Arabidopsis thaliana: one gene and its partner. The protein of the gene in region 1 interacts with the protein of each later gene in a biochemical or structural test. Each region holds a gene or a part of one and is shown in the gene's direction. Other genes may lie near its edges.

What was found. The genes of interacting proteins can lie anywhere in the genome.
Region 2: the proteins of NPR1 (region 1) and OBF5 form a complex in vitro, tested with the Arabidopsis thaliana proteins (2 studies listed by BioGRID).

What each region holds. Positions count from the first base shown.
Region 1 is NC_003070.9:23,854,009-23,857,765, reverse strand, and holds the start of NPR1 (regulatory protein (NPR1)), read left to right. Parts: upstream 1-2,107; 5' UTR 2,108-2,358; coding exon 2,359-2,919; intron 2,920-2,998; coding exon 2,999-3,734; intron 3,735-3,757. Other genes in the region: AT1G64290 (F-box protein-like protein), read left to right, coding at 1-372. UniProt on the Arabidopsis thaliana protein: Salicylic acid (SA)-binding substrate-specific adapter of an E3 ubiquitin-protein ligase complex (CUL3-RBX1-BTB) which mediates the ubiquitination and subsequent proteasomal degradation of target proteins.
Region 2 is NC_003076.8:2,152,920-2,156,676, forward strand, and holds the start of OBF5 (OCS-element binding factor 5), read left to right. Parts: upstream 1-1,826; 5' UTR 1,827-2,126; intron 2,127-2,741; exon of another isoform or gene 2,742-2,757; 5' UTR 2,758-2,822; coding exon 2,823-2,888; intron 2,889-2,959; exon of another isoform or gene 2,960-2,964; coding exon of another isoform or gene 2,965-2,970; coding exon 2,971-3,042; intron 3,043-3,133; coding exon 3,134-3,193; intron 3,194-3,293; coding exon 3,294-3,371; intron 3,372-3,446; coding exon 3,447-3,498; intron 3,499-3,653; coding exon 3,654-3,757. Other genes in the region: AHBP-1B (bZIP transcription factor family protein), read left to right, coding at 65-116, 404-675, 769-1,014, 1,109-1,255.

The sequences.
Region 1 (3,757 bases):
ACTCCGAACTCTGATGTTTTCTCAGGATTAGTCAGATACGAAGGGAAGCTAGGTGCTATTCGTCAGTGGACAAACAAAGATCAAGAAGATGTTCACGAGTTATGGGTTTTAAAGAGCAGTTTTGAAAAGTCGTGGGTTAAAGTGAAAGATATTAAAAGCATTGGAGTAGATTTGATTACGTGGACTCCAAGCAACGACGTTGTATTGTTTCGTAGTAGTGATCGTGGTTGCCTCTACAACATAAACGCAGAGAAGTTGAATTTAGTTTATGCAAAAAAAGAGGGATCTGATTGTTCTTTCGTTTGTTTTCCGTTTTGTTCTGATTACGAGAGGGTTGATCTGAACGGAAGAAGCAACGGGCCGACACTTTAAAAAAAAAATAAAAAAAATGGGCCGACAAATGCAAACGTAGTTGACAAGGATCTCAAGTCTCAAGTCTCAATTGGCTCGCTCATTGTGGGGCATAAATATATCTAGTGATGTTTAATTGTTTTTTATAAGGTAAAAAGGAATATTGAATTTTGTTTCTTAGGTTTATGTAATAATACCAAACATTGTTTTATGAATATTTAATCTGATTTTTTGGCTAGTTATTTTATTATATCAAGGGTTCCTGTTTATAGTTGAAAACAGTTACTGTATAGAAAATAGTGTCCCAATTTTCTCTCTTAAATAATATATTAGTTAATAAAAGATATTTTAATATATTAGATATACAATAATATCTAAAGCAACACATATTTAGACACAACACGTAATATCTTACTATTGTTTACATATATTTATAGCTTACCAATATAACCCGTATCTATGTTTTATAAGCTTTTATACAATATATGTACGGTATGCTGTCCACGTATATATATTCTCCAAAAAAAACGCATGGTACACAAAATTTATTAAATATTTGGCAATTGGGTGTTTATCTAAAGTTTATCACAATATTTATCAACTATAATAGATGGTAGAAGATAAAAAAATTATATCAGATTGATTCAATTAAATTTTATAATATATCATTTTAAAAAATTAATTAAAAGAAAACTATTTCATAAAATTGTTCAAAAGATAATTAGTAAAATTAATTAAATATGTGATGCTATTGAGTTATAGAGAGTTATTGTAAATTTACTTAAAATCATACAAATCTTATCCTAATTTAACTTATCATTTAAGAAATACAAAAGTAAAAAACGCGGAAAGCAATAATTTATTTACCTTATTATAACTCCTATATAAAGTACTCTGTTTATTCAACATAATCTTACGTTGTTGTATTCATAGGCATCTTTAACCTATCTTTTCATTTTCTGATCTCGATCGTTTTCGATCCAACAAAATGAGTCTACCGGTGAGGAACCAAGAGGTGATTATGCAGATTCCTTCTTCTTCTCAGTTTCCAGCAACATCGAGTCCGGAAAACACCAATCAAGTGAAGGATGAGCCAAATTTGTTTAGACGTGTTATGAATTTGCTTTTACGTCGTAGTTATTGAAAAAGCTGATTTATCGCATGATTCAGAACGAGAAGTTGAAGGCAAATAACTAAAGAAGTCTTTTATATGTATACAATAATTGTTTTTAAATCAAATCCTAATTAAAAAAATATATTCATTATGACTTTCATGTTTTTAATGTAATTTATTCCTATATCTATAATGATTTTGTTGTGAAGAGCGTTTTCATTTGCTATAGAACAAGGAGAATAGTTCCAGGAAATATTCGACTTGATTTAATTATAGTGTAAACATGCTGAACACTGAAAATTACTTTTTCAATAAACGAAAAATATAATATACATTACAAAACTTATGTGAATAAAGCATGAAACTTAATATACGTTCCCTTTATCATTTTACTTCAAAGAAAATAAACAGAAATGTAACTTTCACATGTAAATCTAATTCTTAAATTTAAAAAATAATATTTATATATTTATATGAAAATAACGAACCGGATGAAAAATAAATTTTATATATTTATATCATCTCCAAATCTAGTTTGGTTCAGGGGCTTACCGAACCGGATTGAACTTCTCATATACAAAAATTAGCAACACAAAATGTCTCCGGTATAAATACTAACATTTATAACCCGAACCGGTTTAGCTTCCTGTTATATCTTTTTAAAAAAGATCTCTGACAAAGATTCCTTTCCTGGAAATTTACCGGTTTTGGTGAAATGTAAACCGTGGGACGAGGATGCTTCTTCATATCTCACCACCACTCTCGTTGACTTGACTTGGCTCTGCTCGTCAATGGTTATCTTCGATCTTTAACCAAATCCAGTTGATAAGGTCTCTTCGTTGATTAGCAGAGATCTCTTTAATTTGTGAATTTCAATTCATCGGAACCTGTTGATGGACACCACCATTGATGGATTCGCCGATTCTTATGAAATCAGCAGCACTAGTTTCGTCGCTACCGATAACACCGACTCCTCTATTGTTTATCTGGCCGCCGAACAAGTACTCACCGGACCTGATGTATCTGCTCTGCAATTGCTCTCCAACAGCTTCGAATCCGTCTTTGACTCGCCGGATGATTTCTACAGCGACGCTAAGCTTGTTCTCTCCGACGGCCGGGAAGTTTCTTTCCACCGGTGCGTTTTGTCAGCGAGAAGCTCTTTCTTCAAGAGCGCTTTAGCCGCCGCTAAGAAGGAGAAAGACTCCAACAACACCGCCGCCGTGAAGCTCGAGCTTAAGGAGATTGCCAAGGATTACGAAGTCGGTTTCGATTCGGTTGTGACTGTTTTGGCTTATGTTTACAGCAGCAGAGTGAGACCGCCGCCTAAAGGAGTTTCTGAATGCGCAGACGAGAATTGCTGCCACGTGGCTTGCCGGCCGGCGGTGGATTTCATGTTGGAGGTTCTCTATTTGGCTTTCATCTTCAAGATCCCTGAATTAATTACTCTCTATCAGGTAAAACACCATCTGCATTAAGCTATGGTTACACATTCATGAATATGTTCTTACTTGAGTACTTGTATTTGTATTTCAGAGGCACTTATTGGACGTTGTAGACAAAGTTGTTATAGAGGACACATTGGTTATACTCAAGCTTGCTAATATATGTGGTAAAGCTTGTATGAAGCTATTGGATAGATGTAAAGAGATTATTGTCAAGTCTAATGTAGATATGGTTAGTCTTGAAAAGTCATTGCCGGAAGAGCTTGTTAAAGAGATAATTGATAGACGTAAAGAGCTTGGTTTGGAGGTACCTAAAGTAAAGAAACATGTCTCGAATGTACATAAGGCACTTGACTCGGATGATATTGAGTTAGTCAAGTTGCTTTTGAAAGAGGATCACACCAATCTAGATGATGCGTGTGCTCTTCATTTCGCTGTTGCATATTGCAATGTGAAGACCGCAACAGATCTTTTAAAACTTGATCTTGCCGATGTCAACCATAGGAATCCGAGGGGATATACGGTGCTTCATGTTGCTGCGATGCGGAAGGAGCCACAATTGATACTATCTCTATTGGAAAAAGGTGCAAGTGCATCAGAAGCAACTTTGGAAGGTAGAACCGCACTCATGATCGCAAAACAAGCCACTATGGCGGTTGAATGTAATAATATCCCGGAGCAATGCAAGCATTCTCTCAAAGGCCGACTATGTGTAGAAATACTAGAGCAAGAAGACAAACGAGAACAAATTCCTAGAGATGTTCCTCCCTCTTTTGCAGTGGCGGCCGATGAATTGAAGATGACGCTGCTCGATCTTGAAAATAGAGGTATCTATCAAGTCTTATTTCTT
Region 2 (3,757 bases), on another chromosome or scaffold:
TCTTATTTCTATTGATTTTTATTTTGTTATTCTGTATACCTAACGGTAAATTTCTTGTTTCTAGGGCGTCTTCATTTCAGGCACAGGAGACCAGGCCCATTCTACTGGTGGAAATGGTTGGTTGCTTATTCTCCATTAGTTTTAATTATGTTTATTTTTTGGCTTCTAATTTGTGTATAAGTTAAGTTCATATATCAACTTCCTGTTGACTTGGTGTAGACTGATCAATTAGTACATCATATCTCATCCCATTACAATACACTGGGTTATCAGAGTCAGTGGCAGACTGACATGGTTCTGATAGCAAAAACTGTTATTCTAATTAGCACTGGTGTAGATTTAGATTTACAAGATGACGAATCTCATGGGTTTGTTTTGATCATGTATAAATTTTTTAATTCAGGTGCTTTGGCGTTTGATGCTGAACATTCACGGTGGTTGGAAGAAAAGAACAAGCAAATGAACGAGCTGAGGTCTGCTCTGAATGCGCATGCAGGTGATTCTGAGCTTCGAATAATAGTCGATGGTGTGATGGCTCACTATGAGGAGCTTTTCAGGATAAAGAGCAATGCAGCTAAGAATGATGTCTTTCACTTGCTATCTGGCATGTGGAAAACACCAGCTGAGAGATGTTTCTTGTGGCTCGGTGGATTTCGTTCATCCGAACTTCTAAAGGTGAGGTCAAATTTCACTTTGTCTTCACCGATTGCATCTGTTTCTACATAGAACATAAAAAGAATGGTCATAGGGAAAAATGTGTTGAAACAGCTTCTGGCGAATCAGTTGGAGCCAATGACAGAGAGACAGTTGATGGGCATAAATAACCTGCAACAGACATCGCAGCAGGCTGAAGATGCTTTGTCTCAAGGGATGGAGAGCTTACAACAGTCACTAGCTGATACTTTATCGAGCGGGACTCTTGGTTCAAGTTCATCAGGGAATGTCGCAAGCTACATGGGTCAGATGGCCATGGCAATGGGAAAGTTAGGTACACTCGAAGGATTTATCCGCCAGGTACAACACTTGTGATGTTTTGAGATGATATCTTAGTTAAGAGTATATATATATATCAATAGGTTAATAATCGTCTCTTGGTTGGTGGTGGCAGGCTGATAATTTGAGACTACAAACATTGCAACAGATGATAAGAGTATTAACAACGAGACAGTCAGCACGTGCTCTACTTGCAATACACGATTACTTCTCACGGCTACGAGCTCTAAGCTCCTTATGGCTTGCTCGACCCAGAGAGTGAAACTGTATTTTGGTCACATGTCAGCTGTACAAAATCCATATGGACACAAAACCAGGAGAGACTATTAATCAACACTTGTCAGATTCTTCTTACCAAATCCATCAACAAATAAGCAAATTTCTGGGAAACAAAAGACTCTTTGTATGTAGGTTTCTTCTACATGGTTGTGGTAATTCATGTTGTTTTAGTTGTAGTCATCAGTTTTTAATTTAGCATTTGAAAAGTTCAATGTTGTTTATATAGCATCTTCGATTATCTTAGAAAGGTTATTGAATTTTGTTTTTTTTTGTTACTTTTGTGTGTGGTAAAGGTGTTTTAACCTTGCAACTTCTGTACTGTAATCATTTAACAATATTAAGATGTTCTATTTGAGTTTTGTAGTTTCATCGCTTGTGTCTTAAATCTTATTTAGTGAGGATTCTAATGTAAACTTCCAAGAGATGATGAAAATGAATTTACATTCAAAGTAAGTGTGATAGATTTTTTTGTAATAAAAAAAGGGACATGTCATTGTCAAAACCAAGAATTATTTTGTTTTTAGAAAAAAGAGAGTGTTGCAATTTTCAGAGGACTTTTTAACCCTCAGCATCTAGAGGTCCACCATCACTTGAGTTTCGTCTTCCATTCCTGTTTTTTTTCAGAGACCGGCAAAATAAAAAAAAAGAAGATCGTACAACTAAAAATACCTCAAAGAAGGAAGATACAAAAGTAGTAACCTTTGTTGGTGATTGATACTATATCTGTTGTGGGTTTTAGACAAAGACCACGTCTTTGCAGTTGTAGATTGGAATTTTCCGGATCTTTCTCTAAATCGCTTTTTCTCCGAGCAACTTTTGTTTGGGGTTAAGCTCAAAGAATCCGTTCTTTTCAGGTGAGTCTCTTCTTCAATAGTCTTAGGGGTTTTAGTTCTTCAGTTTTCTTATTCTGCCTCTGCTTTCATGATTGTTTTTTTCCATTGAAGATTTTGACCTTTGAGGGAATTTTTTCCTTTTTGCTTTATGTACGTGTTAAGGATCCAAAATCATTATTTCGGACACTATTTAAACGAATTGGTTGAGATTTGATGTTATGAAGCTTGAATTTTGTGTCTTTTACTCTGTTTCCGGGGCTAGTTTGCTAAATTCTGAATCTTTTAGCTCTACTTCAGTCTAATGTTCAGATTAGTTACTGTTTCACCTCACGGAGAGCTTTACGCTATAGAAGTCCGTTGGTTCTCATTTCAAATCATATAGGCGTGCTTATTGTTTACTTTGATTCTCTGGCTTTGAATACTCAAAGTTCTTGAGGTCATTGGTTGCTTCACAGCTATGTGTTAAGTTTAGTGGTTTGGATCTTTATGTTAGTGTGACATAAATAGGGTGATGTATCGTATCATTGTTTCCACTTTCTTGATTCTACTTAATGCGTTGGTTTTTGGCTTAAAAATATGTTTTCTTTCTCTATAACTCTAATCTTTTGTTTATGTTTACCATCTTACTTTTGACAGTCTTTACTCCATCTAGGGTACCACGATTGGATCGGTTTTTATCTGATGATTTAGTAACAGAGATTTTGAAGAAAAAGAAAAATGGGAGATACTAGTCCAAGAACATCAGTCTCAACAGATGGAGACACTGATCATAATAACCTAATGGTTAGCTTGTAAAATTTCTAGGTCTTGCTTCTTTATGTTCATTAAATGGCCAAAGTTTTGAAATAAAACAGTATTTATGCAGTTCGATGAAGGGCATTTGGGTATCGGTGCTTCTGATTCTAGTGACCGTTCAAAGAGTAAAATGGATCAAAAGGTGAATATAAACATCTCTATTTTGCAAGAGTTTGGTTTTTGTCATTGAGCCTTTCAGTTATGTTTTTCTTGTTTGTTGTTGTAATCAACAGACGCTTCGTAGGCTCGCTCAAAACCGTGAGGCTGCAAGGAAAAGCAGATTGAGGAAGAAAGTATGCTTAGATTTATGTTCATAGTTTCAATTCTTTTATGTTTTTTACAAGCATAGCTATTTGCAAACTCTAAGATGTTTGTTGGTTACTGCACTTTTAGGCATATGTTCAGCAGCTAGAGAACAGTCGATTGAAGCTAACACAACTTGAGCAGGAGCTACAAAGAGCACGGCAACAGGTTTTAACTTTGTTCAGCTATATTTGTGTAGATATTTGCTCTGTTGCATACATAACATTTTTCTCTTAATCTTAGGGTGTCTTTATCTCAAGCTCTGGAGACCAAGCCCATTCTACCGCTGGAGATGGTGAGTTAGCTGAATCATAATTCATAACCATTTATTGATGATGTGGTTGAAAATTTTAGTTTTGTTGGTTATAAAGTAGAGCAAGCACTAGTTTGGTTGATGGTGTTGATCACTTTCTTGTGAGATAATTTTTTATGAATGCTTCTCTTTTACAGGGGCAATGGCATTTGATGTAGAATACAGACGATGGCAGGAAGATAAAAACAGACAGATGAAGGAGCTGAGTTCTGCTATAGATTCTCACGCGACTGATTCTGAG